Elephas maximus indicus: one gene and its partner. The protein of the gene in region 2 interacts with the protein of the main gene of each other region in a biochemical or structural test. Links are inferred from orthologs where the notes say so. Each region holds a gene or a part of one and is shown on either strand. Other genes may lie near its edges.

Region 1 (3,746 bases), on a different chromosome or scaffold from region 2:
AAAGGAAAAGATTAATAAAGAACATTTCATTAAAAGTAAGAACTTCCATTCATTAAAACAGTGAAACGGCAAGATACAGAGTGGAAAAAGATAAATGCTGTGTGTGTGTGTGTAAATACACACACAGATATACACCCACACCCTAAACAATCTGCTTCTGAAAAGTCAGCATGAATGCCACAGTGCTGTTCTGCTCTGTACCACACAGAATCACCATGAGTTGGAATCAACACAAAGGCTACTGGTTTATATATATCCAGAAAGAACACATATCCCTAATAAAAAATTACAAATCAATAAAAAAAAGAATACCAAGGAAAACTGGGCAAAGACTAAACAGACACTTCACATGAAGTCATATAAATGGCCAGTAAAAGATACCCAACCTCAATCATCAGGAAAAAAACACAAAATAAAATCACAGTGATATATTACTGTACCTCATAGTGATGTATTACTGCACCTCTACCAGAATAGTAAAAAATTTTACACTGACAAGCACCAGCAATGATGTAGGGCAACTGGGTTATTATTCCCTGCTACTTGGTACAACCACTTAGGGAAAATGTTCAATAGCATGAATACTGAAGTTTGATCATTCACATACCTTGTTGTTAGGTGCGATGGAATTGGCTTTCGACTCACAGCAACCCTTTGTGACAGCACAGAAGAGCCCCACAGAGTTTTCTAGTTTGTAGTCTTTATGAGGGAGCCCTGGTGGCACAGTGGCTAAGATCTCAGGCTGCTATCCAAAAGGCTGGCAGTTCGAATCTACCAGTCCATCCTTGGAAACTCTCTGAGGCAGCTCTACTCTGTCCTATAGGGTCGCTATGAGTCGGAATCGACTGGACGACAAAGAGTTTGTTCATTCGTTTGTTTTTTCGAATCCTTATGGGAGCAGATCACCAGGTCTTTCTCACTGGAAATGCTGGTTGGAACTGAACCACCAACCTTTCCCATTTGCGCCACCAGCATGTCTAACACCAGCGATTCCACTCCTCCACACAATATCTGAAAGAGTCCTGGTGGTGCAGTGGTTAGGCGCTTGGCTGCTAACGGAATGGTCAGACCCACTAGCCATTCTGAGGGAGAAAGGTGTGGCAGTCCACTTTTGTAAAGATTACAGTCTTGGAAACTCTATGGGGCAGTTCTACTCTGTCCTATAGGGTCACTATGAGTCAAACTTGACTGGAAGGCAACAGGAATACAGTATATACTCTTGGAGTCCTTCGGTGGTGCAAACAATTATCGCTCTGGGCTGCTAACCAAAAGGTTGGAGACTGAGTCCATCCACAGCTGCCTCGAAATATAAGTCCTGGCAATCTACTTCCAAAAAATCAGCCATTGAAAATCCTATGCACAAAGTCCTACTCTGATACATATGGGGTTGCCAGGAGTCAGAACAGACAGAATGGCAACTGGGTTTGATTTGTGCAGTGGTTCATTTCATAAAAATTCATTATCTGCACACTTAAAATTGTGCACTTTTTCTGTGCACCTCAATAAACTTTCTAAGATTCCTCTGACACAAAGTTCTCAGAGATCTAGGAAAAAGCTTCTGGTAAACTGATAAAATTTTACAAATATAATTAAAGAACAAAAATGCCACTAATACATACCAGCCCACAATCAAAGTAAAAACTACCAAGAGATAATTTTTCTTGAACTTCATGAAGCACTGGAATTCCTTCTTACAGCAAAGAAAGGAGTTTATTATTCCACATTGTAAGCGAAAGAAGAGATATCTTTGCAAGAAAATGCGGCTGCTTTTCGAAAACATCCCCAATAGCGACAGACAGGAGAAAAGTGAGGGAACCATTCCAAAAGTTTTGGTTAACTCTTTGGTGAAAGGATACTACCTGAGATGGTAGGAGACGTCCAAAAGACAGAAAAAAACACAAAAATGTTACAGCAACTCTAGAGCCAACACCAACACCACAATCCAACCTACCGGAAATCCTGTGGTTAATTTGAGGCTTGCCCCGCTAGTCATAAGGTGATTCAGTGATGGCTACAAACCCTCCCCAAGTGCATCCTTGGAGTCACCTGGCACACCTGGAATGCCCATCACCTGTCTGTAGACACCGCCATACGCAAAATCCAAGGAGGCTATATAGAGTCTCCAACTTTGCAGGTAAGGGGCGCAGATGGTATCATCCCCTCAAGGCCACCCAGAGAGAACCCACTTCTGGCCTCGAGGGCTGGGGTGCAGGGCCCCGAAGCTGCCCCGTCCCTCCGCCTCTGGGACTCTACAGAAAAACCCGCCGGTGGTGAGTTTCTTCCCCGGCGCCCGCGGAAGGAGGATCCCGACAAGCGGCAGGCAAGGAGGCGAGCGCAGGGAACTTAGGCCCCGGCGGGGTCTGGCACGCCTGCCCGCTCACTCGGCAAGTTTGGCGGCAGCCCCTTCCCACTGCGCCTGGGCCCCGCCGTGCGCCCCCGCGGGGCCCGGGCTTGCGGCCCGCCCGGCCTGGCGCAGCGCCGCTCACCTTGGAGACGTTGGGTGAACTCCGCTGTAAACATTAACTTCCCATCCAGCCGGCAGCCGCGCCACCGTCGCGCGTCCCAGCGCCTCGGCCCGGCTCCTGGATCCGTGGGCCGCCGTCTCACGCGTGCTGCACTAACTCACGAACTCGGGGCCTCCGCCGACCCCCACCACCCCTCAGAATGCCGCCGCTGGCTCAACCACTGTCCGGCCCTTCGCCCGTCCGCCTGCCGGGTTCTCCAGGGTCCGGCCTGGCCGCGTCAGGAAAACCCAAGGCGCAGGCGCGGCAGGGCCTTAAAGAGACCCGGCCGCCTCTACCGCATAATAGATTCGTGCAGGTTAGGGGCCGGGCTGGCCGGCCAAGAAAAGGAGAAGCCGAAGGGATTGGACGGAGCGAAGCGGGGGCGGGGAAATCCTTCCCTCTCCGTTTTTCTTGCAAAGCACCAGCCCTCAGTCCTGCAAATTGCGACTTCCCAAGTCATTTGAACCGCCCCTTCCATGTTAAAGCTGCGGAAGGCGCACCCCCTCAGAGCGCAATCCCACCCGGCGCTTAGGGCTGCGGAGCGCGCACTGCCGCACCGCCCACGCTCCTGTTTCCTGGGCTGCGGGCGAGGGGCGCAGATGCTCAGGCTTCAAAAGGCCGTCCTGGGCTCAATAACAATAATCAACGTGTAAGTGGCACTTGTGATTGCAAAGCGTTCCACCCTCACTAGTCTCTTCACACAGGGTCTATGCAGAGTCCGGCAGGGGGTAGAGCCTGGGCATAAATAAATGACGTCCACTGGGCCGCCATCCAACATCCACGAAGAAATTCTTAGAAGGAAAGTACTTAACTTTGGAACGGAAACAATCTGCTAATTCTCGTCCTATCCCATTGCATATGCAAGAGTCATTACCGATATCTCCCTGGTTATCTGTAATAAGCATTTCAGTAGAGGAAAAAAAACTCCATTTTTTTTCAACGAGGTTAGGAAACACCAAAACATAGGAAGTAAAGTAATGGCCTCCACCCAGCTCAGAACTTTAAAAATTCGCAATTTTATGAGGCAAATTTTTCCATATAAACTAAGAGACGTCCTTGATGTCAACAAATCCTGCTGACTCTACCTCCCAATTTTTCCCTTGAGCCCGCCCTCTTCTCTCCATCTATCTGCTCCACCACCACTCCAGTTAAGCTACTAGTCCGGAGCTGCAGATCTAGTCTTCTAATTGGTTTCTCCACGTCCCCTCTAACCCCTTGCCTTGGAGTCGATTCAGATTCATA
Region 2 (3,746 bases):
CATTCACAGTTGATCGCTGAAGCTTGATCAATCGTAACACTCACACCATTAGTTATTTTCACTATTAAAAAACTTCCATCCTTCCATCCTGTTTCCTCCATGCATTGTTGCTTTAACTGTTGCTCAAGCTCCCAAGATGCTTGACCCAGAATAGCATAGCGATTTGCTCCCAATATACCAACACACCTCTGTCATGTTGTCTAAAATCGCACTGGAATGAGCCCTGGACTGGAGCTAGGATACCCTATTTCTGGGTCTGCTCTGTTACTGATTAGCCTGTATGTTCCTGGGCAATTTACCTCATCTCTCTGGACCTCAGTTTCTTTAACTTAAATCGAGAGAGCGGGTCTAGATGAGCTCTGAGGTCGTTAGGTTACAAGTTAGGATTCCGAAGTGCAACCCAGAAGTGAAACCCAGCCAGTGGTCAACCCAGCTCTGGGTAGCTGTTGCGGTTTCAATACGAAGTACCCGTGATGCAGTCTTAATGAAAGGCTGTCAGGTTTGCTAGGAAGAACCTTCCGGTTTTGTAAGACAGGAGCTCCGGGTTTCCAGTTCTGCCACTAATTCCGGGTGACCTTGGGCAAATCCTTTTCTCTGGACCTTAGAGAAGGGAGGTTCTTGTTATCCACAGACTAGAAGACCTGGGCTTTCCACGGTTCCCGTTCAACAATCCGGGTGGCTCTGCCCCAGAGCAGGATCCTGGCCCATTTTCCCTCTTCGAGATTCAGTCGAAACTTAGACCAGCCCTACTGGCTGAGGGCGGCTCAGCCTTGCAGGATTACAGGTGAACTCTTAAAGGGGCCACCAGAGTTTGGGTAATACCTGAGACTGATGGCTGGGCGAAGACGCAGGCGCAGGGGAATGAATGAGTGAGTGAATGAACCAACGAGCCTCCTCACCCTTAAATGCACTTATACTGGGAATTAGTCATTTAAAAAATTCTCTACTACATCTCTCAAAGTCTTACCAAATTACCCAATCTTCCTATTTTACGTGCCCTTCTTTAATTCAAAACTTCCAAACTCTTTATGAGGAGCGAAGAGTAACTTTGCAAAAACCAGTACAAAGTGTTGAGGTGGCACCCCCGCCCTAGCTCTTCTCCTTTTCTCCTCCCAATCCCCGCTGTCCCCGCCCCACACGTGGGTGGTGCGGTCTGCTCCTCCCCAATGCCGCTTCACCCGGCTGGGGACCCACCCCCGGGGGCGCCAGGCACTCTCGGCTGCCTCGGAGTTGGAAACAGCACGTGTTTAGTGAGGTTAAGGGTGTATACGAATGTGTGTGCTGGATCCAGTGTGAGGGAGGTCACGTCTCTTCAGACACCTGGACCCTTGCGGGCTCGGCGCGCTTTTAGCTCAGAACCGCGGGACACCGGTGGGCTAGGTAAAGGCGGGCTCTTCCATGGCTACCCGGGACCACCTGTAGAGTCTGCGTGTCAACTCCTTTGTCCTCGGCGCCACTTCAGTGGCCGCCCCTTTAAGGGAGAAGGATCACTTGGGACGCTCTCCGAGTCCCCCTGCCCGCGCCGCAGCCCCCTCCCGGCCCTGCTCCCCGTTTAACCCGAAGGTAGCAGCGCCGGGAGCCCCGGGCTCGGCGCGAGCCGCCTCCTCACTTCCCATTGGCTGAGAGCGCCGGGAACGCGGTCACGTGGGGGCGCGGCAGTCCAGCTCCGAGGCCGCCATCTTGGCGGAAAGTTTGGGGGGAGAGCGGTTGGGGGCGCGGAAGGAGGCGAGGTTCCGGGGGTGGGGCGGCCGGGAACGGAGAGGGCGAGCGGGCTAGCGGGCTGCGGCGAGCGCGGAGGCTGCGGCGGCGTTCGAGGAGGAGGGAGAGGCAGCGGGGGTGCGGCCGCGGAGGGGAGCTCCTCCCCCGTCCCCTCACCCCTCTCAGCTCAGCTCCTCGAGCCCCGGGCGGGGCGGGGGGACGTGGAGCAGGGCAGGGCGGGGCAGCCGCCCCGAGTCGCTTCGGAGCGCACCCCGCTCGGAGCCCACGCCTCTCGCAGGAACTTTGTGGCGGAGCCGCAGGTGTGGGGGACCGCGGAGGCGTGCATGTGGGGCGCGAGGGCGTCGCGGAGAGCGGCCGCTGTCCTGTCCGGGCCCCGCCGGAGTAGCCCGGAGAGAGCGAGCAAGGAGAAAGGCAAGCGAGAGGAGGGGGCTGGAACAGGGCGGGTGCTCAGCCCGGTGGGTCCCTTCGGGAGCGCTTGGCGGCCGCCGCTGGGCTGGCTCCGGGGCCAAGGGTCGGAGCGCCTCTTGACCCCTCCCCCCGTAGCAGGTGGCGAGGCCGGATACTGGGGCCAGGGTTGGGGAGGTGGCCCCAGGTCTAGGCGTTTAGTGTTCTTGGAGGAGGAGGAAGCTTTCGAGGAGAATTTGCAAGAATGCATTTCTGTGTGCTCTTCATCTGGAAGGGTACCCACCCCGAGGTGAAAGCCTTCTAGATTGATTGACAGCGCTGGGTTTTGAGTCCCTCCCTTTGACTTGGGAAAACTTTGCAAGGTGGGCTGTTCCAGTGGGCCTGGGAGTTTTTCCGATATGGAGTGTGGGGAGAAATGCTAGTTTAACGACGACTGTATTCTTTTTCCTTTGTGTTTGTGGCTTTAAAGGTGTGTGCCCTCTTCCTGATTCTGGAGGAAAATGCCGGTCCGGAAGCAAGGTGAGAATTTGTCTCAGAAGTGTCTCGTGTGGGTGTCACTTAGTTTTCCATGTATCTGTTTTGTGATTGTTACCTTTCAGAATGCTTGTGTAACTTTGATGAAACAGCACGGTCCTAGCTTTACGATTTGGGGAATTTAAGCTTCACTTTATTTCAGAAGAAACCTAAATGTTAAAACTTTTTCCTTGACAGCTCACCAGTTACTAGAGAGTCAGTTAATATTTTCTCCTGAAATCTTTCAACTCTGAATTGGTATTTTAGTGTGTCACTTTATACTTCTTACTATTTTGTGAGCAAATGTGGGATATTAAGTACTAGTATTTTGCAAATACTTAGGATTTGAGTTATAACGACAAATTGCAGCTTTTGCATGTCAGGTAATCTGAAATTATGTTGGTAATACCTTAATCTTTTACTGTGGCTGGCTACCAGCACACATTTATTAGAAATTACTCACCTGCCTCCTTTTTCTACTGTCAAGTAACGTGTTTAAAAAAATTTTTTTTGATCTTCCTGGAGACTGTACGTTTACATGTACCTGGTGACATCAGTTGACCTGGAGGATTTTGGGAATTGCTGAGATGTCTTGCACAATCATTTGTCTGCATAGCTAGTGGGTAATACTTTGTCGTGAATATATAATTTCAATCAGGCCTTTTTCTCCTTTTAGATACCCAGAGAGCGTTGCACCTTTTGGAAGAGTATCGTTCGAAACTAAGCCAAACTGAGGACAGGCAGCTCAGAAGTTCCATAGAGCGGGTTATCAACATATTTCAGAGCAACCTCTTTCAGGCTTTAATAGGTGAGAATAAAACTTTGTGACCGTTATGTGTCTATTAGGCGTAATCTTCCTTTGAATTCTGTTATTTTAAATCAAAGAGAATGAGGTACTTGGCTTTCTATGAGGCATTCATCACCTTGAATGTCTTCAGTGAGTTGTATGTTTTTGATACACCGGTATGTTTTCCGAAAATACCTAATAACCAGAATAATTTCAGCATGATTATACCAGTGGTCTTTGATAACAGTGTTTCATATCTTAGCATTAAGTATTAAAAGTATTAAAAGATGGAAGACATTGCAGAAATGTTTCAGAACTCAGA

The links.
Region 1: the proteins of DLG1 (region 2) and EVI5 interact in a test that uses a peptide from one of them, tested with the Homo sapiens proteins (2 studies listed by IntAct, with this or other methods). The link is inferred for Elephas maximus indicus from reciprocal best matches to the Homo sapiens genes DLG1 and EVI5.

The regions. Positions count from the first base shown.
Region 1 is NC_064821.1:149,459,391-149,463,136, reverse strand, and holds the start of EVI5 (ecotropic viral integration site 5 protein homolog), read right to left. Parts: upstream 2,438-3,746; 5' UTR 1,994-2,437; coding exon 1,952-1,993; intron 1-1,951. UniProt on the Homo sapiens protein: Functions as a regulator of cell cycle progression by stabilizing the FBXO5 protein and promoting cyclin-A accumulation during interphase. May play a role in cytokinesis.
Region 2 is NC_064819.1:18,852,270-18,856,015, reverse strand, and holds the start of DLG1 (disks large homolog 1), read left to right. Parts: upstream 1-1,206; 5' UTR 1,207-1,380; intron 1,381-2,040; exon of another isoform or gene 2,041-2,130; intron 2,131-2,593; 5' UTR 2,594-2,624; coding exon 2,625-2,643; intron 2,644-3,313; coding exon 3,314-3,445; intron 3,446-3,746. UniProt on the Homo sapiens protein: Essential multidomain scaffolding protein required for normal development. Recruits channels, receptors and signaling molecules to discrete plasma membrane domains in polarized cells.